Linked DNA regions of Nothobranchius furzeri. The protein of the gene in region 3 interacts with the protein of the main gene of each other region in a pairwise test. Links are inferred from orthologs where the notes say so. Each region holds a gene or a part of one and is shown on either strand. Other genes may lie near its edges.

Region 1 (7,519 bases), about 36 Mb from region 3:
TTTACACGGAGTTTAGTTATCATCACCTAACCTAACTGTTACTGGGCCCCAAACTATTTTTTTATCGGAATTTTTTAGCAGCCACACAACTTTAACCAGAAAGCAGCAGCTTCCATCTTAAGCTAAACTGATTGTTTTGGGACAAGAGTAAATGAAAAACTCCCTACTGGAGCCTCATAGGTGTTTTGGATCTGTTGGACTTCAGATAAACTGGTGCACCATCTATCTGAGACGGAAACAGGAAGTACACAGTACGATGTCCTCTGAAAATGACTACAACCGCATTACCAAATAATCTCTCAAAAATAAACATTAAACTTTGACGTATTCGTTTAAATAACAACTAAGGTATTTTATCAAGTGCTTTTAACTGAGAATGATACAAATAGTTATGAATCACAGGAGCTATTAGATGTTTAAAGTGTAACAGAAAGAGAATTTTAAAGTGTTTGGTTGTTTTATTAAACACTTTGTGTTCTTTAAGGTTCAAACACCTCCTGTAGACCATGTGAAAAGTCTAATAAGAAAATAAAAGAACAATAAAACTGAAAATAAGGAAGGCTGGAGCATTCAGGTGAGTAAAGGTTTATTAGGTGTGAGTAGGGATCCACAATATATCACAAATAAGTCGTTATCGCAATATCAGCATGCGCAATATGCATATCGCAAAGAACAGGTAAATACAGCAATGAATGGTCAGCTCAGATGTTTGCTACACATAATGCATTCTGTCAATCAAGCAGAAGCATTATGTTTTTTAAACAAATCAAATAGAGCTCTTTGGCATATTGGGTGGGTTCTCATAGGTTAGATGTCCGCCCCTGAGGCAGACGGCACTTAATTTTGATGGTTAGCAAACACCTGAGTTAGCTTTGTTCTGCTCTTTCTGCTTTTCCCGGGATCCACTGATTGCCTTTTATTGTTCATTTTATTTTTCCCTTTCCTCACATCTTTTGCTTTTCTCATTTTTATGATTTCTTTTTGTAATTTATTAATTTTGATTATTTTTGTTGCTGAGTTGAGTTTTTAATTATCGCAAGTCATATCGTCATTGCAATATTAGTCACTGTTATCGCATATCTCAGGTTTTCCTAATATCCTAGGTGTGAGTTAAAAGGACTAACGTTTCAACACTATGTGTCTTCGTCAGAGTTATGACATTGGTTACTCTGACGAAGACACATAGTGTCAAAACGTCCTTTTTACTTGCACCCAATAAACCTTTACTCACCTTGAGTCGTCCAGCCTTCCAGCTTTTCATTCAGTGTTCACCGGCTGTGGAGCACCGACCTGTGAGGGGTTGATACGCAGAGGGCTCCATTCCCTAACAATAATAAGACATTTTAGTGCTGTTTCTGATTTTTTAAAACACAATTTGGTGCAGAGTGAAAGATTGACCCATTATCTTCTTCAGTTAATCTAAGTGAAATTGAGGCATTCACTCAGAACTCAAACAACAGATTAGATCACCTCCACTTCGGTTATGTTCATGCACAGCCTCAAAAATCAGCTGTTAACATCATTCATGCAGAAATAAGTACACAGGAAGGAAACCGTTTCAGTGAGCTGAAACATGCAACACATTAGGATCACATGGTTCTTAAAGCCTCCACTGAGTTGTGACCGTCAGAACATGATCTGGTGTGTTTTATAGGTGGACAGGTAGAGACCCACTGGACCCACTTCCAGTAGGATCTGTCTTTCTTTCTTTCTTTCTTTCTTTCTTTCTTTCTTTCTTTCTTTCTTTCTTTCTTTCTTTATTCTTTCTTTATTCATTCATTCATTCAGACATTTAACCTTCTTTTAGATTGAATTGACTATTTGCTGTGAGCCAGAGAAACTGTGCCTCTTCCACAAATTTCTTCTTAGAGGCTGTAGCCAACCTTTGCAGTCAGACTTGTCTGAGAAGGACCTGCAGCTTTCTGAGTGTCTTTTGCAGCTCCGTGTGGTGATTTCATCTTCACTTGATATTTAAAGAGCCTCCAGGAGCTCTGTGCCCTCTCGGTGAGAACAGCCAGGTCGGTTAAAAACACTTATGTGTAGATCACTTTTAACACTTGAATGCTTTAGTCTTTGACGTGGTCTTATTTCCACATCAACTGTGGTGATTTCTGTGGCCCGTTTTCACCGGTCAATCAGTTTACACACCCGTTTATTCAACCTGACTTCCTCCGATGACTGTGGGTCTAACTCGCAGCACTGTTTTTCCAGGAATGATCTGGGGCTGTGAGAGGTCGAGGCAGCCTCTCCAGTAGCTGTCACCACGGCGGGGCACCTGCGTAGCTCCGTCTGCAGGGTTGTCATCTACCTCCAAAAGGACATGTCTGGGGACAGCTGTCTTCCCCACCATCATGTTCAGGATACCCCTGCACCCCCAGCCCCTCTCATGGCTTGTCCCAAGACCAAGACCTGCAGCTACCGAGGAGCCGTGGGTCTGGGCAACAAGTATGTCCATCTCAACGTTGGAGGAATGCTGTTTGACACCACGCTGCAAGTTCTGACCAAACAAAATTCCATGCTGAAAGCCATGTTCAGTGGAAAGAGAGAGGTTTTCACCGACAAAGACGGTTAGTTGGTGATCTGTCTCAGCACTATAATTTACTGTTGGGATTCATGTCTGGCTACTACCATCCTTTCATCTACTCTCAGCATGGATCAGGAAACAGTCTGTCATCATAGACTGTTGCTTCCTTGCAGGTTGGATCCTGATCGACCGTAGCGGGAAACACTTTGACAGCATCCTGTGTTTCCTACGAGATGGAACCGTTGGCCTACCCAAAGGTCGGCAGGCCGTGCAGGAGCTGATGGCTGAGGCCAAGTACTACCTAATCCAGGACCTCGTAGAGCTCTGTCAGAACGCCCTGCTGGTCAGTTACTATAAATCAATATGCCATTGTGTTGCATTCTGATTTATGAAGGTGTCTCTACAAGCAGGAAAACCGAGATCAGCCCACTGTAATCATGTTTTATTTAAATGTATATCCCGTTGGTCACTGGCAGCAATTTACATTAATGCAAAAATCTTTACTTTTATTATAACGGAAGTCATAATACTTAGTCCTGGCAGAAGAAATGGCTCTGGTGCTGATATTGACCTTGGCCCATTGACACCCTATGAAAAGAAAATGGTCAGTAATTTGGGGATTAAAATCGACTCATCACTTAATCTTGACACTCATGTAAATACAGTGGTGAGGTCCTGTTTCTTTAACCTGAAAAGACTATCCAGGATCAGGCCTCTGCTGTCCAGAGCTCATCTGGAGTCTGTGTTGCATCCCTTCGTCCTTTCCCGGCTGGACTACTGCAACGCTCTGTATGCTGGTCTGGCCCAGTGCACGGTTGCACGGCTCCAGTTTGTGCAGAACTCTGTGGCTAGGTTCCTGACAGGCATTAGATGTCGAGAGCACATTACCCCAGTGCTGGCTGCTCTGCACTGGCTCCCGGTAAAATATCGAGCTCAGTTTAAAATCTTAACTCTCGTTTATAAGGCCCTCCAGGGCAGTGCCCCCTCGTACATTACTGCGCTTTTGAACAGGTATGCTCCATCTCGGTCTCTTCGCTCAGCCGAGCAGGAACTTCTGGTGGTCCCCCGGCCGAAATTTCGATCGAGGGGTTGTCGTGCTTTTTCTATTTTGGCTCCAACTCTGTGGAATGAATTACTACTGAGCATTAGGCAGGCACCATTCCTTCAAGTCTTTAAGCCTCGTTTAAAGACTCATTTTTATCTGATTGCGTTTCAGCGCTAGGGTCACTTGAACTGCCCTAACATTATGGTTTTAACTATTCTTCTTTTTAACCCAGATGCTTGATTTTATTTTGTCCGACATTTGTTTTTTTATCGATTAGTCTTATTCCGATATCTCTTATCTGTAATAGTATTTGCTTGATATTTTTTGATTTTATGTTTTTATCCTGCTTTTATGCCCATGTACTGGGAATGTTTTTCTTTTAATGATGTTGTTCAGCACCTTGGGCTTCGGATAATGTTGTAGAAGGTGCTATACAAATAAAATTTGATTGATTGATTGATTGATTGATTCAAGAACTTCATCCAAATTTTATCCAGTTCAGAGGAAATCACAGTTAGTCTGTCACTGTTTTCTATACATTATGTTTCAATTAATTAATTAACTACACTTTTTCATTTGTGCAATCTGAGATCCTTTTATTTATTTTATTTTATCATTTGTTTATCCTTCCAACACGTTTAACTGCAAAGCCACTTTGTACAGATGTGCCACTTAAATAGACTTCCCCTAAACATGGTGACATCATCACTAGTAGCCACTAACCCAAACATGGTGACATCATCACTAGTAGCCACTAACCCAAACATGGTGGCATCATCACTAGTAGCCACTAACCCAAACATGGTGACATCATCACTAGTAGCCACTAACCCAAACATGGTGACATCATCACTAGTAGCCACTAACCCAAACATGGTGACATCATCACTAGTAGCCACTAACCCAAACATGGTGGCATCATTACTAGTAGCCACTAACCCAAACATGGTGACATCATCACAAGTAGCCACTAACCCAAACATGGTGACATCATCACTAGTAGCCACTAACCCAAACATGGTGATATCATCACTAGTAGCCACTAACCCAAACATGGTGATATCATCACTAGTAGCCACTAACCCAAACATGGTGATATCATCACTAGTAGCCACTAACCCAAACATGGTGATATCATCACTAGTAGCCACTAACCCAAACATGGTGATATCATCACTAGTAGCCACTAACCCAAACATGGTGGCATCATCACTAGTAGCCACTAACCCAAACATGGTGGCATCATTACTAGTAGCCACTAACCCAAACATGGTGATATCATCACTAGTAGCCACTAACCCAAACATGGTGATATCATCACTAGTAGCCACTAACCCAAACATGGTGACATCATCACTAGTAGCCACTAACCCAAACATGGTGATATCATCACTAGTAGCCACTAACCCAAACATGGTGATATCATCACTAGTAGCCACTAACCCAAACATGGTGGCATCATTACTAGTAGCCACTAACCCAAACATGGTGATATCATCACTAGTAGCCACTAACCCAAACATGGTGGCATCATTACTAGTAGCCACTAACCCAAACATGGTGATATCATCACTAGTAGCCACTAACCCAAACATGGTGGCATCATCACTAGTAGCCATTAACCCAAACATGGTGGCATCATCACTAGTAGCCACTAACCCAAACATGGTGACATCATCACTAGTAGCCACTAACCCAAACATGGTGACATCATCACTAGTAGCCACTAACCCAAACATGGTGGCATCATCACTAGTAGCCACTAACCCAAACATGGTGACATCATCACTAGTAGCCACTTACCCAAACATGGTGACATCATCACTAGTAGCCACTAACCCAAACATGGTGGCATCATCACTAGTAGCCACTAACCCAAACATGGTGGCATCATCACTAGTAGCCACTAACCCAAATATGGTGACTTCATCACTAGAAGCCACTAACCCAAACATGGTGACATCATCACTAGTAGCCACTAACCCAAACATGGTGACATCATCACTAGTAGCCACTAACCCAAACATGGTGACATCGGCTGTGTTCCAGATGAGCCAGTTCTGTGCAGATAGATCACTGGTAATCGGCGCGCAGTGCATGCTGGTTAGATTTGTGTCCGACTTAACGCCTACGTAGGCAACGATAACCTCATGAGTTCAAGGTGGCTGCAGATTTTGGAGCAAGGCGCTGCAGTTGCTCTCCACCGGCTGCAAAACCTAGAGGATGACGGGAAACGCCTGGCTCTCACCTGATCTAAGATCTGATTGGTTCACATTTTGATCCAAACATCCGGTGGTAGAACATGAAATGTTAGTTGGTCACATGTATTCTGTAAATCATGTTACGTTGATGATGACAACTATATAGGCCATAAAGAGGAATGCGTTTTGTGTTCTTTTCTCACGTTTCCTATGAGCACACTGAACATACAGCTGATGACCTTTACTTATTATTACAGTCATGATTTCATATACAATATATGATATCCACAAGCACGTGAGGATGTGTTTCAGTTGCTAACAGGCACCAGAATTAAAGTGTGAACGCTAACGCGATATCTTCAGACATCATCACCCGCAAGCTACATGTAGGGAAATCTGTCCGACTTAAATGCCGGCTTTCAGCCGCTCCCCCTGCTGCGTCCGTCTGCTCTCTGTTTTCCAGGCGAGGCGCTGCTCATCTCAAACATGGCCATCATCACTAGCCCACTAACCCAAACATGGTGACATCATCACCATGTTGAAATCTATTCATTATGCTTTTGTTCAGTAAATCAGAATCCGCCCTGAAAACCAGGAAGCTCTATATTGATGAAAATGTATCTAAACCTAATTAAGGACATTTATTTTGATTTGACTCCACTGTTTTTTCTCTCTCAACACATTTTGTGATGTCTGATTTCTAATCGATGTGCTACTTCTGTTCTGCAGGAGAAGAACGAGCAGCCTCTTTGTGTTATACCTGTGATCACTTCCTGTAGAGAAGAGGAGCTGCTCATCCAGACCTCCTCTAAAGTACACACACACACACACACATAACCTGAAGTATACTTTACAAAACCACATTTTAAATCTTTTGTAACTTATTGTCATTAATTAGTCTCTTTTTAAGGTGAATTGTGTGTGTGCTTGCTTGCCTTCATGCTAAAGAAATGCGTCAGTTTGATGTTTCTGTTATTTCTTGGTGTTTTAAAGGTGCATTGTGTAGAAATGAAGGGAAAGTGACATCCTGTGGTAAAATCTGGTTACTGCAGCCACTTTAAACAACTCTGGAGCTTTTTGCCGGCCGTCGTCAAATTATGACAAATTGTCAACGCTGCAGTATTAGCTGGCAGGAGACACGACACCCCCACACTCACTGAAGTAAACGGTAGTTACGCCCCCTCCTTCCTTTGTTTTGAAAGGAGGAAACCTGACAACCCAGCAACCAGCTGGATATGAAATATGTTTCAGTATAACCTTCCTTCCAAAATGACTGAAACATTAGACTCTTTGGGGATTTTCTCATTGTAAAATTCTCACTATATTACATAGTGCACCTTTAAATGAGTAAAATCTAGATAAGTGATGAGTGTTTTCTTGTCTGTTAGCCTGTAGTGAAGCTGGTGTACAACAGAAGCAATAACAAGTACTCCTACACCAGGTGACACGGCCTCTTCCTGACATTTAAGCAGTCGTAGTTCACGATGCTCCCTGAGACTCTCCCCTCCAGCTCACTTTGTTTTCCTCTCCACAGTAACTCTGATGACAACCTGCTGAAGAACATCGAGCTGTTCGACAGACTGACGCTCAGCTTCAACAGCCGTGTCCTCTTCATCAAAGACGTGATCGGAGATGAAATCTGCTGCTGGTCCTTCTACGGTCAGGGCCGCAAGCTGACCGAGGTGTGCTGCACCTCCATCGTCTACGCCACAGAGAAAAAACAGACTAAGGTAGTAGATCAGACGAAAT
Region 2 (4,176 bases), on a different chromosome or scaffold from region 3:
GATATCCTCCAGACAATAAGAACTGTCCTGAAAAGATCAGAAAGCGTTCAAGAATTAGCTTGGATATTAATCATTTACTAAAAATGTGGTTTCCTCTAACTGTAAAAGACTACCTTCACAGGGTCCCAGGAGGAGAGTTTCTCTTTAAGCAATGGATGAATGACAGCCACAGCCAAATCTGCCAATCCCATCATCTTGTATTCCTCATAATAATCGGTTTGTAATGTCTCAAAGATCTGGGCACACTCCTGAAGAGACAAGCACTACAAATCAGCTTCACAATTATGAAATATAAAGCTGGAACTCCTTAATTTGAACAGCTTGCAGACCGGCTCCAGTCAGTGTTTGTAACACAAACCTGTAGGGTCGGGCCCTCTCCCGGTGCCGTCTCTTCAGAAGGAAAACGCTCCACTAATGCTAAGACAGCTTCCATTCTTCGGATGGATTCTTGCTCTGACTCCAGTCTGCTCTGCAAAGCTTTTGACTCATGGCTCAGAGAAACAACCACGTCTTTTTCATGCTGCAAACGTCTGGCAGACTACAAAAGATGCACAAAAAAAAGAAAGAACGCTTTAGTAGAGATTACAAGTTCTTCACATTTTTCTCAGGTTGCTGACTTATTAATATCCTATTCTTGTAGCTAAATATGTTGTAAATAATTCTTGGTTTCCTCTTACCTGTAATATGTTTTGTTCTGTCAGGTCTATCAGAAGCTGCAGATTATGCTCAAGTTCGGGGAGAGCAAAGCCAGATACCTTTTGATCCTGTGAAGCCAAGCTTGGTGGAGCTTCATCGGGAACACTGTGTTTGTGAGACATCTGACTATAACTGTAGTATACCTTCTGCTCTCTTCCAGTCATATCTATTACCTAGACCAAGGGAAATGTCAGGATAAATAAGTACTATGAATGTAGCCAAAATGTACTTAAATTACTGATGCTTAATAAAACACTGAATCCTCAATTTTGCACCTATGCAGCCATGCCAACATAAAAAACAAACAGCACACAAGTGAAACATAAACATACCTTGACCTGTGCCAGCTCTCCTGCAGTTGCAGATGTGCTCCGACTCACTATTTTACCTTTAGCCTTCAACTCATCTGCTGTTCTGTAAGAGTACTTGGGCTTCTTTTTTCCTGCAGGCCCAGCTGGATCCTTACGCCACTGGCCAAGTTCCTTCTGAAATTCCTATATAAAGATATAGAAAATTACCACAATGACTCTATAGACTCATTTGATCAATAAAATCAAACACAAAAATAAAAACAACATTGTAAAGACAATTTTTTTTCTCAGTACTTTACCTTCTCCTCTTCTTCCTCTGAGTCAACTACAGGAAAGTCCTGAAGACTCTGCTGGGTTCTTTCATTGCCATAAGCACCAACCGCTCCTTTTCCCTTACGGATCTTTGCCTCAATGGGGTTTATGATACCTACAGAGAGAAAGTACATTACAAGTGTTTCAATTCCACCACATCCATGTAAAAAACAAAACATTTTACAACATTTTTAAAAGAACAATCTAAGTCAACTAAACACACCTTGAGCATTCTTCCCCAAGCCTTTCCCTGGCTGGTAACCCATCTTCTGCAGAAGTTTCTGTCCAATTCCTTTGGTGTGTTTCTCCCAGTTACCAATTCCTTGTCCAGACTGTATTCCACCTGCAAACCTCTTAGACTGATTTCCACAGAAATTACCCTAGAAAAACATTTTTTCCCAACATCATTATTTTCACTATTTTCTTCTACAAACAATGGACATCACAATGTGCGCACATTTAAAAATTACCATCTGGAGTTTTTTGGGTGCAGTCACGCGTGAAGGGGGGAGTTTTGCAGAAGTATCATCATCAGAGTCGTCAGAGCTGCCTTCTTTTTCCCGCTCTTTCTCTTCAGCAGCACTCTTACGCAAACCACCACTCACAAAGCTCACAGGTACAGTGTAGTCTTTGGATCTAAAAAGAAATCATAAATATTTTATTAGAACATTTGGTTAGAAATTGTTTCAGAATTGGAATTTGTGTCAAAAGCAAGCCATTTATACTTCTTGCCACCAAAGCTGGGCCTTTCATCTTCATCAGAATCCTTCTCGGCCCAGATGCCATATGTGGCCTGCTCCTTGCTCTGCCTGAATTTGCGACGGTCTGGGTTGAACTCATTGGCTAAATCCCAGTCAGTAATCTCAAAACTCTCCACCTCCACACCTTCCTCTTCCTCCTCCCTCCGCCCGTAAAGGTGGGACATTGACATCTCTGCAAGTTATAAACAATATAGATCTTAATGAAATGTGACCGAATCCTAAAATTACACGTGCATTTATTTTCCAGGAAAGAAACATTGTGACTTCAAAATCAGGAAAAAGATGCATATCTAGTTTATTAAAGGCAAAGAAGAGGGAAATAAAATGCGATAACTAAGTCAGGTATGAAGTCAACGTTTGTGGTTTAACTAACGATAAATTAATAATGACAAAAAGGTTTACAATCAATAACGATGAATACACAAATAAGACTAAACGTGAAACATCGATTATAAAACTATACAAATCTGCTTAGAAGAAAACGGAGCGAAGGCTAATTACTAGCAATAACGCACGTTCTGTAGCATTAATGTAAATACACACAACATGTTAGTAGTGATAAAAAACGACGATTTCGTTTAAGTTAACTTACTAAAATATTAATTACAACCTTGGTCTGAGATCAAAAACACATATCTTATGTGGTAATAAGACGAACTGCAGAGACACGAACTGTTGACGAATGATATATTTTTGTCAAAAGCAAGTTCTTCCGGTTTAGCCGTGTCACTTCAATTAATGTACACTACAAATAATTTCATTAATATTTTAAAAGCAGCTTAATTAAAACCAACCATTCAACACATACATTTTTATAAAGCGGTCAATATTTTTTTTAAAAATAAAAACAATCGAACAACAGCAAATCTGTTGAATTTACGTGACTTTTAACTAGACGGAAATCACACCGGAAACAGAACAATGTGTTGCACTTGAATAGGTCATCTGCGTTTCCATTTTTAGCTTTCAGCTCTCAAAATGCTAAATTTGGTTTTGAGTTCCATGTTTTTATGATACTTACGTTTGGAAATGTATGTACTTATGTAAATTACATCTGGCAATTCACACAAATGTCGTACATATCCGATGAATGGCAGGTAGCTCGGCGTCGAAAAGGTGTATGTAGGCAATTTAAATCTCATCAAGTTCCTCTAAACTCACCATCATGCCATCAGGAGCAACTGGATGTTGGAAAACTCATCAGAAGAATCAGAGACAACATGTAAGAAGTTACGCACACACACATGTATGTATGTATGTATGTATGTATATATATATATATATATATATATATATATATATATATATATATATACATATATATATATATATATATATATATATATATATATATATATATATATATATGAGTAACAATATTTATCTTGCATAATAGGTGAAATCATACATCTTCCCATAAGTTATTGGTTTGCTTATATCTTTCCTTCTTAGGTTTGAACTAAAGTACGAAGATTTTTGGAAAGACTGGAATGGTGAGTTTGTTGTAGATATGTAGGTTGAGTTAAGCTTAGTTATTTAGTGGATCATCTTCTCTTCAGAGAATTTCCAGGCAGCAGCAGCATCCCTAAAACCTCCAGGGGACAGTGACACTGAAAATCAGCTGGAAAAAGCCCCAGAAGAAACACTGATGTGTGTTTGTTATGGTCTTGGGTCTTTTTCTTCATGTGTAGCCGCTCGCTACCAACTTGCCATGTTGCTGCTTCTTCTGGATGCGAGACAGGTGAGAAGATCGACTCCATCTGTGTTATAAATGATACTTGTGAAACTCTGATGCAAAATATGTGCTTTATTGCCCCTGTCCATGTAGATTTTACTGCGGGACTGCTATGTTTATGATCCTGCCTTCTCCTTTGCTGAAAAGAATGTCTTAAGAGAGCTGGGTTTGACTGTACTCACAGAAAATGAGGTCAGTTGACAAGAGCTTGAGTATTTTTGAAATAAATAACAGTAAAACACTGTTTTCAGGTATACACTATGAAGTAGATTATACAGATATAATGTTACCATAAATACCATTGTTACAAATAAACAACTGTTACAACTCCAGCCATTTCATTTTGCTATCTGTTTGATTT
Region 3 (8,487 bases):
GACCCATCCCTGAGGGAGCAGTGAGCTGCACACACGTCTGCGCCCGGCAACTATTTGGTCGTTTAAAAGAGCAAGTCACCCCCAAATCAGCTTTTTTTCCTGATAAACTATAGAAATGCGTGTCTAATCGTGCTGCAGACACGTGTTGTCAATAGTTTTGCACTTTAGTGCATTTTAGTTAAAATTTTAATTTTCTGCCTAAAACTGTCAGTGTTGCGCCGTTGTCAGGTAAAAACTCTGCACTGCATTTGAATTTAAATCTGCCATCGCTATTGGCTAAGAGGTACCCTAGAACGTTAGCTGGTACCATATGATGTCACAATGTCGTTGTGAGCCTGTGTGTGTGTGTATTTGTTAGTGGCTCCACCCTCTCGGTCTGCTAGGCAACAGCATTTGTTGCATTGTTCAAACAGGAAGTGGGAGTGGAGTAAGACTCTGGTAGGGGGTGACTTGCTCTTTAATCACACGAAACAACCTCTTAATGCTGAGTGTTAAGCAGGGAGGCATCGGGTCACATTTTTAAAGTCTTTGGTACGACCCGACCGTGGATTTGACCCCTGATCGCCCAGTCCCAGGGCAGAAACTCTACCGTTAGCTGGTAGGAGGAAAATGCTATAAAAGTGCTAAATGTTTTAGGCAACTCTCCTTACATCTAGGTCTGAAACGATTCCTCGAGTACCTCGAAAAATTCGTGTACAATTCTCAAACTCTCTGCCTCGAGGCTTCGTTTAATTCATGTTTAATTAATTCATGGCTTAGCAATCGCCCGTGGTCACGTTTCACCCGGACTGAAATAAGTGACGCACATACACACAGCACTGAACGCACACGCGAGAAGCGAATGTAACCTAACTTTCTCTTAAGCCATGGCGGACGACGTGGACCCCGGTGGAGTGTGAAAAAGACACAAAATATCAAAGGTGAGGGAGCATTTTTCACGTGGTCAGGCGGGAAACGTAGTCCAGAGTAAATACTGTAAAATGGATGTAGCCCACCACAACACCACATCCTCCATGCTGCAGCACCTGACCAGGAAACATCCATATGTAAATGTCACTTCTGCAAGCGGTCTCGGAGGTCCACTTTGCGACTTTTTCGTTTGTAGCGCTCAGTTTCAGCTCACACTGTCGTCTGGTAGCAACACGTCGGATCTAAAAATGTGCTAAAAATAGCAGTTTTTACACGTCAGACTTTTCATTGTGTTGTTATTGACTTCTGTTGTCCCTCGGGGTCGCTGCAGGAGGACACGGGTGTTTATGAGGAAAACGAAAGAAAGTAAATAAATGTTTTGTGATCAGTATAATTTGACAAAACCACGGCAAACATGCTTTCTCGACAATCCTCGTTAGTGTTAGACAAAAAGTGCAGAAATTAAAACGGACGTGTGTTCATAGGGAAACAGCTGGCGAGATGTTTGCGCATGCGCCGTGAGCGGTTCTGGTTCTGTTTGGGCCGCAGCCGCTCGCTGTGCTACTTCAACAGTTATCCTCCTAGTTTTTGTCTGGCTTGCAGGCTGGTAGATCCACACGAGGAGAAAACCGGCTCAGGTTGTTTACTTATTTTTTGCACAGGCGTTTGTTTACTGTGAAGTAAAGTTGAAGTTTTGAAAACTAATTTTGAATAAAACTTGAAGAATAACTGGCAATTGCGTGCTAATTTTAGGAGCTCTTTCATATTTTATAACATGCTATTTGATATAATGGTTTACAAACACAAAAGGGTCATTTATTAGAGTACTCGATTACAAAAATATTTGATAGCCGCAGCTCTAGTTCTGGCCTTAATAATGAAGCATTTTAAATGATGCACCTGAGCTGTAACTATGGTAACGCAAGATTCCATAGCTTTACCATAGTGACAGTCTATCATAGGTGACAGACAGCGCTCCATAGGGAGTCTAAGCCACGCCCATCTACTTCCGGACCACGGGTCCCCAGAAGAACAAAACAATGAATGCAAGTCAGCGGGGCTAAAGACACTATTTTCTAATTCTGCTTGTTATGTGCCATGGATTTCACACATGATTAGGTCTGAAACGATTCCTCGAGTACCTCGAATAATTCGTGTACAATTCTCAAACTCTCTGCCTCGAGACTTCATTTAATTCATGTTTAATTAATTCATGGCTTAGCAATCGCCCGTGGTCACGTTTCACCCGGACTGAAATAAGTGACGCACATACACACAGCACTGAACGCACACGCGAGTAGCGAATGTAACCTAACTTTCTCTTAAGCCATGGCGGACGACGTGGACCCCGGTGGAGTGTGAAAAAGACACAAAATATCAAAGGTGAGGGAGCATTTTTCACGTGGTCAGGCGGGAAACGTAGTCCAGAGTAAATACTGTAAAATGGATGTAGCCGACCACAACACCACATCCTCCATGCTGCAGCACCTGACCAGGAAACATCCATATGTAAATGTCACTTCTGCAAGCGGACTCGGAGGTCCGCTTTGCGACTTTTTCGTTTGTAGCGCTCAGTTTCAGCTCACACTGTCGTCTGGTAGCAACACGTCGGATCTAAAAATGTGCTAAAAATAGCAGTTTTTACACGTCAGACTTTTTATTGTGTTGTTATTGACGTCTGTTGTCCCTCGGGGTCGCTGCAGGAGGACACGGGTGTTTATGAGGAAAACAAAAGAAAGTAAATAAATGTTTTGTGATCAGTATAATTTGACAAAACCACGGCAAACATGCTTTCTCGACAATCCTCGTTAGTGTTAGACAAAAAGTGTAGAAATTAAAACGGACGTGTGTTCATAGGGAAACAGCTGGCGAGCCATGTTTGTGCATGCGCCGTGAGCGGTTCTGGTGCCGTTTGGGCCGCAGCCGCTCGCTGTGCTACTTCAACAGTTATCCTCCTAGTTTTTGTCTGGCTTGCAGGCTGGTAGATCCACACACGAGGGGAAAATCTTGTTTATAATAATAATAATAGTTTATAAACACAAAAGGGTAATTTATTAGAGTACTCGATTAATCGATAAAAGATTCGATAGAGTACTCGATTACAAAAATATTCAATAGCTGCAAAAGTTTTAAAGGTAAAAGTGCACGAAGGTCATCAAGTGTAGAGCAAAATGTACCTGTTAGGAGTGGGATTTATTACGTTTATGTTTTAGATGAAACAGGAGATGACACCAGTTTTTTTTTGTAAAAACCCTCATAAAAGGAAACGACTGAGTACATCACGTTTCTGCTTTGATAAAATGACTTGGTGTTGTATTTGATGTGAGGATTCTGCAAACAGCAACAGCCCAAAATGTGTCTGAAACCCGGCGTTCACCTTTTGTTTGGTGACACACCTGTTCCTGTTGACATTTTGGCTCATATCTAATATTTAAAAGTGTTTGGTTTAAGAAAACAAAACAAAAATGACAATAATTCATTTGTTTTCCATTCTGGAAAATAAACTACCTGCTGGTCCCACTTTAGGCTGAAGCAACACCTCCAGAGTGGCCCGATCATAGATTTCTTTACTGACTTTGACCTCAGCAGGCCCGTAAACGCCGGCCATCACACTCGTATCCCCTTTGAAAACAAACAAACAAGGTAAACGGTTATTAGTATATTTCTAATTTTACAGAAGCATTCATTTCATTCCAGAACTGCGCTGCTCTGGGTGGCTGCATGTTGGAGTAGCTCTGTTGACTATATGGAAGTTTTGCCTTTTTTGGACATTTTTTCTTCTAGTTTCTCAAGAAAAACTGTATTTTTTGACATTTTACTTTTCTGTTTCTGGTGCTGTGAAGATTGGAGGATTTTTTCTGCAATTTTTTCACTTTTTTAGCATTTGTTATGATGTGTAACCATGGCAACAAGCTGGTTTACAATCGGGAGCAGCTGATTAACATTGGAAAGGCTGAAATAACACCTCGACTGAAGCCACAAATCCCAAATGAGCTAAAACAAAAGAAGCGTGGGTGCAGAGCGGGAGCGGGACGGAGACGGAGAAAGAGGAAATTCAAACCATCTCTTCCATCGATCATAATGGGCGATGTGAGATCACTGGCCAACAAGATGGAGGAACTCCAAGCCCTTTCGAGGACTCAGCCAGAGTTTCGGCATTTTCGGAACCGCTGGAGGAGATAAAGCAAAGAAGGATTCTCCAGAGAATCAAGAAAATGATGGACAACCCTGAGCATTCTCTTCACAAGACTGTCCGACAACGGAAGAGTGTCTTCAGTCAGAGGCTTCTTCAGTTTGGCTGCAACACTGACCGCTACTGGAGATCCTTCCTGCCAACAGCCGTTGTAATATACAACACCTCTTTGATGACTTGATTATTATTATTATTCTGAGCTACTACAGCAATCAGTTTCCCTCTGGGATTAATAAAGTATTTTTGAACTGAACTGAGTGAAGTAAGAAACACCTAGAAGGTAAACAAAACACCAATCTGTGAAACGCCTGAACAACACTGGTTGATTTATTTTCAACGTAAAAAAAGAAGCTTTGTGACAATTTTCAAACATAAAAAGGAAAACTTCAACCAAAGGTGTAAAGGCCACGGGTTTAAGTCGAGGGAAACGCGTTTAAACACGCGACACCAAACCTCATATTTACACATTCACTTCCTTTCTTCTGCTTTTAAGATGCTTTTCGGCGAACAGCGCTCCTCTGCGACTCGCGCAGCCTGTTTGAGTCTGAATAAAAGACCAAATCACGGACATAAATGATGATTGTTACCCTGGACGAACGACGCCGAGCCGTCCGGTCTGGACAGCAGATTCTGTTCACAGCCGAACTCTCTGAGAGAAACATTATTAGAAGCAGAAACCTCCATCATGCCGCCTTCTTCGAGAATATGTTTGTCGCAGGGGAATTACGTCATCGGTTCTTTCAAAGTTAAACCGGAGACATCGATTTGACACTTCTTACAAAAACGTATTACATAGGTGTCTTGCGTTTTAATTTTTTATGATCATAAGTAACATTTTTCAACAATAATCTTTTTTATATATGCTTCTGATCGTTTATTTAGTCATTATTTATTTTGAAAGTACAAAACGGAAAGCGCTATCCATCGAGTTGTCAGTTAACCACTAGGGGGCGACAAAACCCCATTCTTTCATTTGTAAACACCATTTTAGAATGCTGCGTGAATAACCAGAAGCTGTGTTCGTCATTACTGGTTTCGTGTTTAACTTGATGCTGTCTTTGTGAAGCAAGTTGTAGTTTTTTGTTAAAGCAACTACTTTATTCATTTTACTTCTATTTGCCTTCAAATTTTGATCTTCTGAGAAAACTGACAGGTGCTCCGCAAGTGGACACCCGTTTTTGTTGCTTTATGTTTACAATTTAGGTAAAATTTTCAATAGCAAAAAATGCTTCTTCGTTTTTCTATTTTTTATTTATTTTGTTTTTGGTAATTGGTTTAAATATTTTAAATACATACTTGAAAGCATAAATGTTTCACAGAATATGTTTGCTGTGCTATGAAAACCTGTTTCAGACCTTCTGGGCCTAAGTAGGCTGTATAATCTAGTATTATCATAGTTGACTGGGTGCTTTGGAGGACCCACAGCACCCAAGTGGAGCTCGCTGCAGAACCACAAAGGCAGAGGATTAACTTGTTTCATATTTTATGACTTTACTATTTTGTTTTTAATGTAAGTCTGATAAAGATCATTGTGATGTTATTACTTAGTTTTGATCTGTGTGAAGCACTTTGTGATTTTGTCTGTGATGAGTGGTATATAAATTTCACTTACTTTATATGTATCATGTGTTAAATATAATAAATCCTAAATACTAACTACATAGAAGTATAATTATATATATTTATACACACACAGATATAAATAAATAAATATATATTTATTCATACACACACACACACATATAGATATAAACAAATATATATATATATATATTTATATAGATGTGTGTGTGTAGCCTGCCTTTCTAAGTCTGAGACATAATCCAGCTCCCCCATAGCCCTAGTGACGATAACTGACGTTGACTGAGATTTTAAGACAAACATCAATGCTGATGATTTTATTTTACATGTAATTGATGACATAGATTGGTAAACTAAACCAAACAGCAAAACACCAGGTACTAATCTGTGTTGCACATGCAAGACACACGGATATCTCTTTTGTCTCTTATGTCATGCATGAAAACTCCATATCATCTCTGAGAAGGTGAAAATGAAGGGAGACCGGGTTTCATCCTCATCCATATCGTGTGTAGTCACGAACAGACGGCCATTGCTGCGTCGTCTTCATCCACACTGAAGATGTCTGGTGGGATGACCTATGTAACAAAGTGTTGTTGGTTTTCCTTCACCCAGCTCCAGGCCACCATGATGCCACTCATCACAGACACGTCCCATATGCAAAATGATAATGAATTCCAATAACAAGGAAATGAGTCATGCTCTCGTCGTTGAATACAAATACACAAACAACCAATAAACATTCACTAGATGCTACATACCTGTACTTCTTTTCATTGGGTGACCTCCATAGTGTCTGGCTCTGTTGGGCTGAATTGACTTTGAAGAAAAGATTTTCCCCATGAAATATTACAAACTCCCCATGTACTGGCAACTCACATCCTGGAAATTTCCTGCAAAGTATTCATACCCAGCCAGAGGAAATGTCTTCAGTAATTGTTGGCACCACCCATGGATGTAATTTGGGGGGGGGGGGGGGGGTACAGGGGGGGACATGACCCCCCCCCCCCCCCCCCCACAAAGTCAAGCTTTGACCCCTGCACTTTTTACCATCCAAAAACAACATTACGCTATATTAAATTGACACTGGTTGAGCTCTAGGACCATAGCCTAGTGAACTAGACCAAATTCTTGCTTTGCAAAGTTTGGTCTAGGCATGCTCCATTGGAACCTCCACAGCTCCTACCAGGACTCTGGCTAGCCAATCACAGCTCTCTAGAGGGGTTTCAAACACATAAAGAGCTGTGATTGGTCCATAATGGTGGGCCAATCATAGTGCTCTATCTGCTTAGTGAACAAATCACAGAGCTTTATCCGCTTTGTGGGCCAATCAGGGCACTCTATATGCCTGGTGGGTGGGATGATGCAACAGAGTGAAACAAGAGTATGTCACATTCATTGTCCAGTAGCATGCGGAGATCATTTGAAAGACAACCGTAGAACCCGCCCCACAACCGAGAGCCGTCAATGGAGCGTGGCCAGACTAAATAATAAATTTATTTAGTCTGGCTTGCCAGGCTACTAGGACCAAGCAGAAAACAACCATTTGTGTTGAAGCCTGTTTCCCATTAGAACATACTGTAAAGATCCCCACCCCGTGTCCCCCCCCACTTCTAAAGTGAAAATTACATCCATGGCACCACCAACTCCTGATTACGGGCATGTCTGACTAATAATATATACAAATTGAAAAGTTCTTTATTTAAATTTAAATTGGTCTCGCAGTGCATTTTTTAAAATAACGATAAAAACTCACTGGAGCTAAATCAAAAGGCATGTCCAGGGTCTCATAGAGGGCATTCAAACTCCAACGGTACATCCACAAATGGCATTTAAACTGTAAGACCACTGACCATCATCGTGTCTGCCCCACAGTCATCCCCTCCCCGCTGCAGCTGGCCTCCACACTCCGCACATACGGCTTCTTTGGGAATCAATTCCTTTGAAATGTCCTCTAATGTTTGGGAGCCAGTGACCAAATCCTGGGGGAGATTTTCCGGTAGAGCTGTTTTTCATGATGTATCTTACCATTCTCATGAGATCACTGTTGTCCTCCGACTGGTACTGCCTCATCCTGCAGTTCCTCCTTTGTCTCAGCAGCATCACCACCGTCAGCGGCACCCTCTTTGGTCCTGAACATTTAGCCACACTTTTGTGCAAGCACAACTGTCTGGGTTTGGCACATGGGCAATGCCATGACCTCTTTCATGTCGAAGGCCGCCATCACCCTTCCCAGTCTGCTGCAGCACGACACTTTGGGCTCAGAAACTGATATGAACTTTGTTGAGGACGGCCCTCCAACTGCGACATCAACTGAGAGAGGCACTCCTGCAGCAGCAGATGCGCTCTGGAGGCTCAAGCAGCTGTTTTCTCCCATCCCCAAACATTCGCCATGTCCGACAGCACCTCTTCTTCTCTGCTTTTTCAAAGATGGCGCCGCAGACGGCTGCCTTGGTACTTTGGTGCGCTGTTATTGTTCTGTTTTTGTGTGTAAATTGCGTATCTGGGTTCTCCTACTCAAGAGAAGAACTCATAAGTTACAACACTATGATTCCGGTGGACTTAACCTGGTTTTTTGTTGCATCCGGGGCCGATTCAATATCAACTTTGATCAGGAAAGTGAGACGCAGGAGGAGAGGTAAACGAGCGGGCGCGCTCGTGCGTCTGAGGAGACGGGGACTGCGCACGGCTCTACCTGGGACCTTCCTCTCTAATGTGCGCTCACTCCGCAACAAAATGGACGAGCTGACCCTGATGAGGAACATAAACAGAGACTTCTCCTCATCTGTGCGCTCCAGCTGGAT
Region 4 (7,791 bases), on a different chromosome or scaffold from region 3:
AGCGAGCCGGAGGCTATGAGATCCTCCATGAGGGTCAAGTTAAGGCCATAAAAGTGAGCGGTAAATGAACATAATTTCAGTGACGGGGATTGTAAATCCTCATCGCAGCTTTTAATTGGACCGATGACTCACCCCTGTGAGAGGAAGCCTCACTCTCCTCTAATCGGACTCCTGCTGCACTCGAGTTTCCTGCAGAGACAAAAACAGCAACTTGACTATCAGAAATAAAAGATGCAACAGATCGTGTTCCACATAATTCCCTTTATGAGTGAAAAGTTAAGCTAAACATGAACAGAAACACATGCAGAACTCACTGGGGAGATGCCGCTTCACTGGATTCTGGAAATCAAGAGAATGAGACATAAAAGAGAAGTTATTCAACATTTTTATTAAAAATGTAAATATTACCCAGCTTTTTCTGTCTGTGAGAATCGTCCTTTCAGTTTGTTTTTATGATGTTTACTAAAAGCGTTGGGCCAAAGAGCGACGACCCACCTGCTGTTGTGCTCTTCTGTTGGGCGGCAGAGTGAGCGCCCAGACGGTGGCCTTCAGCTCCTTCTCCGTGGCCACAGAGCTGCTGCTGGCCTCCGGTCTGATCTGGACGTGGAACTTCTTGGGCTCCTCATCATCGAAGTCTGAGTCGCTGGAGTAGAAGTTGTTCTCTTTTTCATCAGAGCAGCGTTCAGGAGGAAACGAGTCAAGAATAAAAATAACGGTTTTGGTGACGAAAAGAAAAAAGGCCATTAAAAGTTTAATTTGAACTATAAATCTTCTACATTTAGAAATACAGACGTGGACAAAATAGTTGGTGCCCTTCGGTCAACGACACAAAAACCCACAATGGTCAGAGAAATAACTTGAATCTGACAAAAGTAATAATAAATAAAAATTCTATGAATGTTAACCAGTGAAAGTCAGACATTGATTTTCAACCACGCTTCAATGGAATTACTGAAAAAATAAACTTATAGACCAGGCCTGGACATAAATGACAGTACCCCTAACTTAATATGTTGTTACACAACATTTTAAGGCAATCGCTGCAATCAGACGATTTCTGTAACTGTCAGAGACTTCTGCAGCAGGTATTTTGGCCCACTCCTCATGAGAAAACAGCTCCAGGTGTCTCAGGTTTGAAGAGCGCCTTTTCCAGAAGGCACGTTCCAACTCCTTCCAAAGATGCTCAACAGGATTGAGGTCAGGGCTCATAGAAGGCCACTTTAGAATAGTCCAGTGTTTTCCTCTTAGCCATTTCTGGGTGTTTTTCACTGCATGTTTTGGGTCATTGTCTTGTTGCAAGACACTTGACCTGCCACTGAGACCAAGCTTTCTGACACTGGCCAGCACATTTCTCTCCACAGTCCCTTGATAGTCTTGAGATTTCATGTACCCTGCACAGATTAAAGACACCCTGTCCCAGATGCAGCAAAGCAGCCCCAGAACCTGTATGGTCGTTAAATCAAACATCTATGCGTACCCGCCATTGGATGTTGGTTGTTGTGTGAAGACACAGATGTGAGCATGCCATACTGTACTGATTACAAATTCCACCAACTTGTTGTGTGGTCATTAATAAAGGAATCTGAATCTGAATTACTTGTGTCCTACCAAAACACAAATTAGAGCTTTATAATTCTTCACATAAAAAAACCACAAATGTAGAAAATTGTGCAGAAAAATGGAGAAAACTCTCTAATCCCCTGATGCATTAAAACACTGTTTGGAGGAATTTAGAGTCTGTTCATCAAAATCCCAAGAATAAATGTGTTGCAGACGGAGTTTAACACACGACTAAGGATAGTTTCAAACTGCAGGCAAAAGTGCATGAAATCTGATTTATTTCCCCACATGTGACCCATATCTGAACAGCACAGATCCCATTTTTTCAAATCTGACCAAGGTCACTTTCGTATGTGGTACTGATTCCAGTGCATATCTGATGTCTTTGAAAGTGACTGCAGTGATCATGTCGAATTAAAACCGTGTCCTATGTCACCGAGTCAGCTGAGGTGAGCAGGTGTGTTGATGCTCTCGAGGAGAAGCGCTGACAGAAGGACTTCAGGAGGGGCTTCTCCATGAATGAACGTAATTTCGGAACATTTTCGGTGAATTATAATTCGAGAAGACGGCGGGAAAAAGGAGTAAAATAGTTTACCTCTTCACATCACAACTCCGCCCCTCACTGGAGAGAGCTTGATGTCGCACTTCAGTCATAATGTCAACAGCCACACGAAAAAATCTGGTTTACTCAAAAAATCAGAATTGAGCAACAGGGCCTGCAGTGTGAATGAAACCCAAGTCTAGATTATAACATATTTATGAGTCTAAAGTCTTTGAATAATCCAGCAGAAGAGAGGATGACTTAAACACGGATGCTTTTAAGTAGTGTTTGGCTATTTTTTTCCCTAAATATCCAGATGCATCAAGCAGGAGCAGAAAAAGGATATCATTGTGAGTGCTGTCAGCTCTGATGACAAATCCCTCATCATCCATTTCCAGCGGTGAATTCTGTAGTAAACAGAGCAGAGGGAGGCAGACAGCAGCCGAGTCAGCAGAAACAAACGGTGCATTTCTGACACCCAGAAGCATTAACACACCATCTTTCAGAGCTCTAACAGAGCGTTCTCTAAGCGTAGCTGATTGAGTAAATCGACCTTACAGACGATGCAACACTGATGACACAAGTGTGGGTTTAGTTATTCCTACAAGTACAACCACTGTCCTTGTCAATAGATGTAAGACAGAAACTGAATTAAAGGTCAACCCAATTGTTTGGGTGAAAATTTTGTTTTTTATTAGTGAATACGTCATGTAGAAAATGTTTTTTTTTTTTATAAAACCCTCCCTCGGCTAAGCAGTTGCCTCTGTCGAGTGTTTTCAGAAACATGAAACTTGTGAAAGTATAAAATTTCGGCATCAGTGGCTCTGTGATGCTCTGTTTTATGCTCTGACTTCTCATTAGCCTGTTAGACGGCTGTTTGGCAGTGTTTAAGTCCTTTTACACACACACACACACACACACACACACACACACACACACACACACACACACACAAGCATGTACAGATACACACATGGCTATGTGCTGTCCATGTGCTTGGAAGATAACCTCCCAAATGTCTTCTGGGAAGTACAGGAATAAAAATGGGAAACCCCACACCATCCATGACCCTAACCCATCACACACTCATGACTCTTCCCAACACCACCTCGCACAACAACACACCGTTTTTACAGATTTTACGCCTTCAGAATACACACACGCACAAACGAGCCGTCTGCTATTTAGGGCAAAGATTGACAAACGAGCTTTACGCAGATGAGTGTGAATTACGTCAATTACTTACCAACGTGTCCATGACAGCCGAGTCCCTACGAACCCAGAAAAAAAAAACCACAGGAGTTTATTAAACTTTTCAACAACAGCTCAAAGCAAAGCTCTATTTTTTGATTGAGCAAAACTTTAAACTGAAATCAGACATGACCAAAAGTCCTAAAATGGTGATTCAAATGTTTGTTTTTTCCATCCATCGATCTAGGCTGTTATCAGATGCTGAATGTGAATTTGACTCAAAAATCAACACTGTGAGAATTAAAAGTTGCAAAAAAATTATATAAAATCATTCTGACAAAAATCTCGTCACACAGCAGTAGGATCAAGACAGGAATATCGCAGGAAGTTCAAACATTCCTGCACCGCCAAAATACACACATTATGATTTTACATAATGAAATTCCAAAGGAGTGCATTAACCTAATAGTTAATAAACTAGAAATTATGTTATGTAAATCAATAAATAAACAAGAAATCTCATTAAATACCTTACATAAATGAAAGAGAATATTTTATCTTTGTTTGAACTGAAATCAGCTGTTTGACACCAAACTGCAACCACATATAAAGAAGACATGATCCGTCCTGCACTTAAATGTTCCTGTTGTTTTACAAACCTACAGACTCATTCTTGTTACGCTGTTTTTGACATCAACTGCAAGGTGTCAAACATACAAAACTGTTGTTAATTAAACACTAGAGTTACTGAATTTACATCAGATTCTAACAAGTTGAATCGCTTTATTCAGTCTTCAGTTAAACTGGTGCACAGGCTGTCAATCATGTCCTTGCTGTTCAACAATATTCACTCTGACTGAAATATAGTGTTCAGACATGATTTTGACATCTAGAATTTCATCATGATGAGTCAAGAAAACGAAAACTTCAGTGAATTTATTCCAATTTCCTTTCTATAAACCACTCGGTTAAAATACTGATTTAACCAGGTAAACACGGAGGGCTTTAGGTGTGTGTGTGTGTGTGTGTGTGTACTACACTCACGTAGAGTCTGGCTCCTTGTCCCTCTTGCCGAGGCCAGGGATCCTGAAAGTTTTAGCTCGAGTCTTTTTCCCACCCTCAGGAGTCAGAGCTGTCATGTACTCCTCAAACCCAACCAGAGCTGCAGACAGCAACACAAACATTATCTAAATGATGTTTGGAGTGTGAGTGTGTGTGTGTGTGTGTGTGTGTGTGTGTGTGTGTGTATGTATACCTGGTTTGTCTTTGCCCGTGCCTTTCTGCTCAACAAATTTCTGAATGAGTATATCGATGCCGATGTTTTCCACATTCTGTTTGAATTCCTCGTGAACCTGAAGTTTATTTTTAAATAAAGTACAATTTATAAGAAAGTTTTTAGTTTTCACTGCCAGAATAAATATTGAAGTCACTGAGAAAAAAAAAACTTTCCTTAAGTGCTCCATGATAAGAGCAGATCGGCTCCAACCTACCTGTCCCACCTGGACATGGGTGTCCTCTATAGAGTGAGAGTAACTTTTGATCAGCTGTCTCATCTGACGCAGATGAGCTTCCTCAATCTCCTGAAACCTCTACACACACGCGCACGCGCACACACACACACACACACACACACACACACACACACACACACACACACACACACACACACACACACAGGAGAGTAACATGAAAAAAGCAGAAAATTTTCATATAGAAAATCTACCCAAATATGTTTTATAGACAATAAAATGTGTAGCCTTTATAGACTTCATTTGTGTAGTTAGATACCTTTAAACACTATAAATGGCATGAATGCAACTGCTTAAAGCAAATTATGTCCATCCATCCATTTTCTGAACCCGCTTTGTCCAAGCAGGGTCGTGGGGGTGGGTGGGTGGGGGGGGGGGGGGGGGGGGGGGGCTGGTGCCCACCTCCAGTGGTCAATGGCCAATCAGGCGGGGTACACCCTGGACAGAGAGCCAGTCCATCTCAGGGCAACACAGAGACACACAGGACAATCAATCATGAACACACACACACACTTAAGGACAATTTAGACAGACCAATCAACCTAACAGTCATGTTTTTGGACTGTGGGAAGAAGCCAGAGTACCCAGAGAGAACCCACGCATGCACAGGGAGAACACGCAAACTCCATGCAGAAAAATCCCAGGCTGGGAAGCGAACCCAGGACGTTCTTGCTACAAGGCAACAGCTCTAACCACTGTGCAGCGCAAATTATGTCCAATTATTAAATTATTCACAATTTAAGCTCTCTCTTCTTAAGAGAGAGCTGAGCCGGAAGGCAAAGCTCTCGATTTACCGGTCGATCTATGTTCCCACCCTCACCTATGGTCACAAGCTTTGGGTAGTAACCAAAAAGAACAAGATCTCGAATACAAGCGGCCAAAATGAATTTTCTCCACAGGTTGTCTGGGCTCTCCCTTAGAGATAGGGTGAGAAGCTCAGTCATCCGGGAGGGGCATGGAGTAGTCCCGCTGCTCCTCCACGTCGAGAGGCGCCAGTTGAGGTGGCTCGGGCATCTGGTCAGGATGCCTCCTGGATGCCTCTATGGTGAGGTTTTTAGGGCATGTCTAATTGGGAGGAGATCCAAGGGAAGACCCAGGACACGCTGGAGGGACCATGTCTCTTGGCTGGCCAGGGAACGCCTTGGGATTCCCCTGGTAGAGCTGGCCCAAGAAGCTGGGAGAGGGAAGTCTGGGCGTCTCAGCTTAGGCTGCTGCCCCAACGACTCGACTCCGGATAAGCGGCAGAAAAATGGATGGATGGATGGATGGTTGGATAGACAATTGATGAATTTAGAATATTCAGATTATCCTTAAACAAAGACGCCATTTAGAAGAAATAATAATAAAAAAAGCTTCAGGGATGCAGTGGGTCATCAGGAGGACTGCTGGAGTTTAGCTTTTAATTTGGTTGCATCATTTGTCACCGCCTGCTTTAGGCAGACTTGATGAGGTGATTCTAGGCTTTGCTGAGGACATAAGCCTGTGAGTAGATTTTTCTTTGTGTGCATGTTCTTGTTTCTTTGAGCCAATTATTATACATTTTTATGAGGTGTACGAGTGTGTGTGGGGGTTTCCCAAACACCTCAGTGCAGCCTGGTGAACAGACACCGAGAGAAAAAGACCAGCACAGCTTTCGTCTACATGAATTAGTTTAATCGTGCTCTCAGATCAGTTTCTCTTCTCCTTTTATTTAGTCTGGTTATTGGGAGCAAACATGGCACGCTGTTATTTAGTCTGTTTCTACCTGTTTCTATCTGTTCCTCTTTTTCATCTGCTCGTGTCTTGATGAGGAAACCGCATTTAGTTTCAGTAAGGATTCAAAGATGAATTCAGACTGATTTTATCTGACACAAGAAACTCTGGTTTCAGCTTGTTTTCAGACTAGCTCATTTGGTAACCGGGACATAACAGGATTTCCTCTAAACTCTCAGCTCATTACGACAAAACTCTTTAGAAAATAAAGAAGCTTGTAGATTTTTTTTCCTGTTTGCAGTAGATCAGAGGCAGGGTTTTGGTACTGGAGGTTTCTCTAATATTTCAGAAGCGTCTGGTTACCTGCGGGAAAAGATGCCTTGTTGAAGATAAAATGAGCTAAATTAGCTTAACTCACTCAAAGATGATAAAAAATATATTCATTGATAATTTATATTTGGTTTGTTTCTTAAAAACTCACCCAAACACCAAATTGTGTATTAACCTTATTTTATGACCAGTAATTATAATTCTTCACAAGTGTGTGACACACATTTTTGAGCCTTTAATGAACACATAAACATAGTTTAAAAACATTTTTCTACACATTTTTAAAGTAGGTCAGACTGTCTATGCAGGGCTGTAGTCAGGGGCGGCGTTAGGCCCGGCTACTTGGGCTGAAGCCCCGGATGTTTCATGAAAAGCCCCGGATCTAAATCGCGGAAGTAACATGCAGTACCAAAGTCCAACAGAGAGGGAGCAGCTGGCAGTAGTTTGTATACAGCCTGCCTGAACCTCCACCACTGAAGAAGAAGCCCTTCAGCAGCCGGCTTCTTCTACACTCTCTGCCTGAAACGCATGAGTGAAGATTGACATAAGGACGTTTTTTTAGACACAAAGTACAACGACAGAACCCCAGCTTTGATGAGACTGGTGTTGACTCAGGTTTGAGTCTTATTTGAAAATATTTGTTGTGCTGCTGGTTTGCCTAAAGTTAGCTTATCAGGTAAAGTTGTTGGAGAAAGAAAGGGAATATGTACTATCATCTCACACTAAACACTAACAGGAACAATACTCTGCCCTGAAAATGCTTAATATGTAGCTTCAGATTAAAAATTATGTGTTACAAGACAAATATATATGATGTTGACTAGTGCGTGTCATGTGTGTGTGCGCGAGCGCGTGCGTGCGTGTGTGTGTTAAGCCCCGGATCTTCTTCAGTCCTAAATCCGCCCCTGGCTGTAGTTATAAACCACGGTTGCAACAAAAGGTAAAGTA

The links.
Region 1: the proteins of exosc5 (region 3) and tnfaip1 interact in binary tests that used the Homo sapiens proteins (3 or more experiments, as listed by UniProt). The two-hybrid records come from large-scale screens. The link is inferred for Nothobranchius furzeri from reciprocal best matches to the Homo sapiens genes EXOSC5 and TNFAIP1.
Region 2: the proteins of exosc5 (region 3) and tfip11 interact in binary tests that used the Homo sapiens proteins (3 or more experiments, as listed by UniProt). The link is inferred for Nothobranchius furzeri from reciprocal best matches to the Homo sapiens genes EXOSC5 and TFIP11.
Region 4: the proteins of exosc5 (region 3) and fcho1 interact in binary tests that used the Homo sapiens proteins (3 or more experiments, as listed by UniProt). The two-hybrid records come from large-scale screens. The link is inferred for Nothobranchius furzeri from reciprocal best matches to the Homo sapiens genes EXOSC5 and FCHO1.

What each region holds. Positions count from the first base shown.
Region 1 is NC_091753.1:22,426,252-22,433,770, forward strand, and holds part of tnfaip1 (BTB/POZ domain-containing adapter for CUL3-mediated RhoA degradation protein 2), read left to right. Parts: intron 1-2,211; 5' UTR 2,212-2,320; coding exon 2,321-2,567; intron 2,568-2,697; coding exon 2,698-2,867; intron 2,868-6,499; coding exon 6,500-6,583; intron 6,584-7,158; coding exon 7,159-7,211; intron 7,212-7,304; coding exon 7,305-7,500; intron 7,501-7,519. UniProt on the Homo sapiens protein: Substrate-specific adapter of a BCR (BTB-CUL3-RBX1) E3 ubiquitin-protein ligase complex involved in regulation of cytoskeleton structure.
Region 2 is NC_091757.1:45,000,280-45,004,455, forward strand, and holds the start of tfip11 (tuftelin-interacting protein 11), read right to left. Parts: upstream 2,801-4,176; 5' UTR 2,691-2,800; exon of another isoform or gene 2,673-2,690; intron 2,253-2,672; 5' UTR 2,251-2,252; coding exon 2,045-2,250; intron 1,956-2,044; coding exon 1,790-1,955; intron 1,700-1,789; coding exon 1,543-1,699; intron 1,435-1,542; coding exon 1,307-1,434; intron 1,191-1,306; coding exon 1,029-1,190; intron 870-1,028; coding exon 678-869; intron 539-677; coding exon 359-538; intron 249-358; coding exon 114-248; intron 28-113; coding exon 1-27. Other genes in the region: srrd (SRR1-like protein), read left to right, coding at 3,091-3,302, 3,533-3,573, 3,640-3,821, 3,909-4,007. UniProt on the Homo sapiens protein: Involved in pre-mRNA splicing, specifically in spliceosome disassembly during late-stage splicing events. Intron turnover seems to proceed through reactions in two lariat-intron associated complexes termed Intron Large (IL) and Intron Small (IS).
Region 3 is NC_091753.1:58,573,398-58,581,884, reverse strand, and holds the start of exosc5 (exosome complex component RRP46), read right to left. Parts: upstream 4,850-8,487; 5' UTR 4,790-4,849; coding exon 4,690-4,789; intron 4,090-4,689; exon of another isoform or gene 3,990-4,089; coding exon of another isoform or gene 3,971-3,989; intron 3,532-3,970; coding exon 3,418-3,531; intron 1-3,417. UniProt on the Homo sapiens protein: Non-catalytic component of the RNA exosome complex which has 3'->5' exoribonuclease activity and participates in a multitude of cellular RNA processing and degradation events.
Region 4 is NC_091748.1:67,266,192-67,273,982, forward strand, and holds part of fcho1 (f-BAR domain only protein 1), read right to left. Parts: intron 4,882-7,791; coding exon 4,783-4,881; intron 4,645-4,782; coding exon 4,548-4,644; intron 4,455-4,547; coding exon 4,337-4,454; intron 3,373-4,336; coding exon 3,348-3,372; intron 2,509-3,347; coding exon 2,448-2,508; intron 681-2,447; coding exon 496-680; intron 340-495; coding exon 315-339; intron 190-314; coding exon 133-189; intron 1-132. UniProt on the Homo sapiens protein: Functions in an early step of clathrin-mediated endocytosis. Has both a membrane binding/bending activity and the ability to recruit proteins essential to the formation of functional clathrin-coated pits.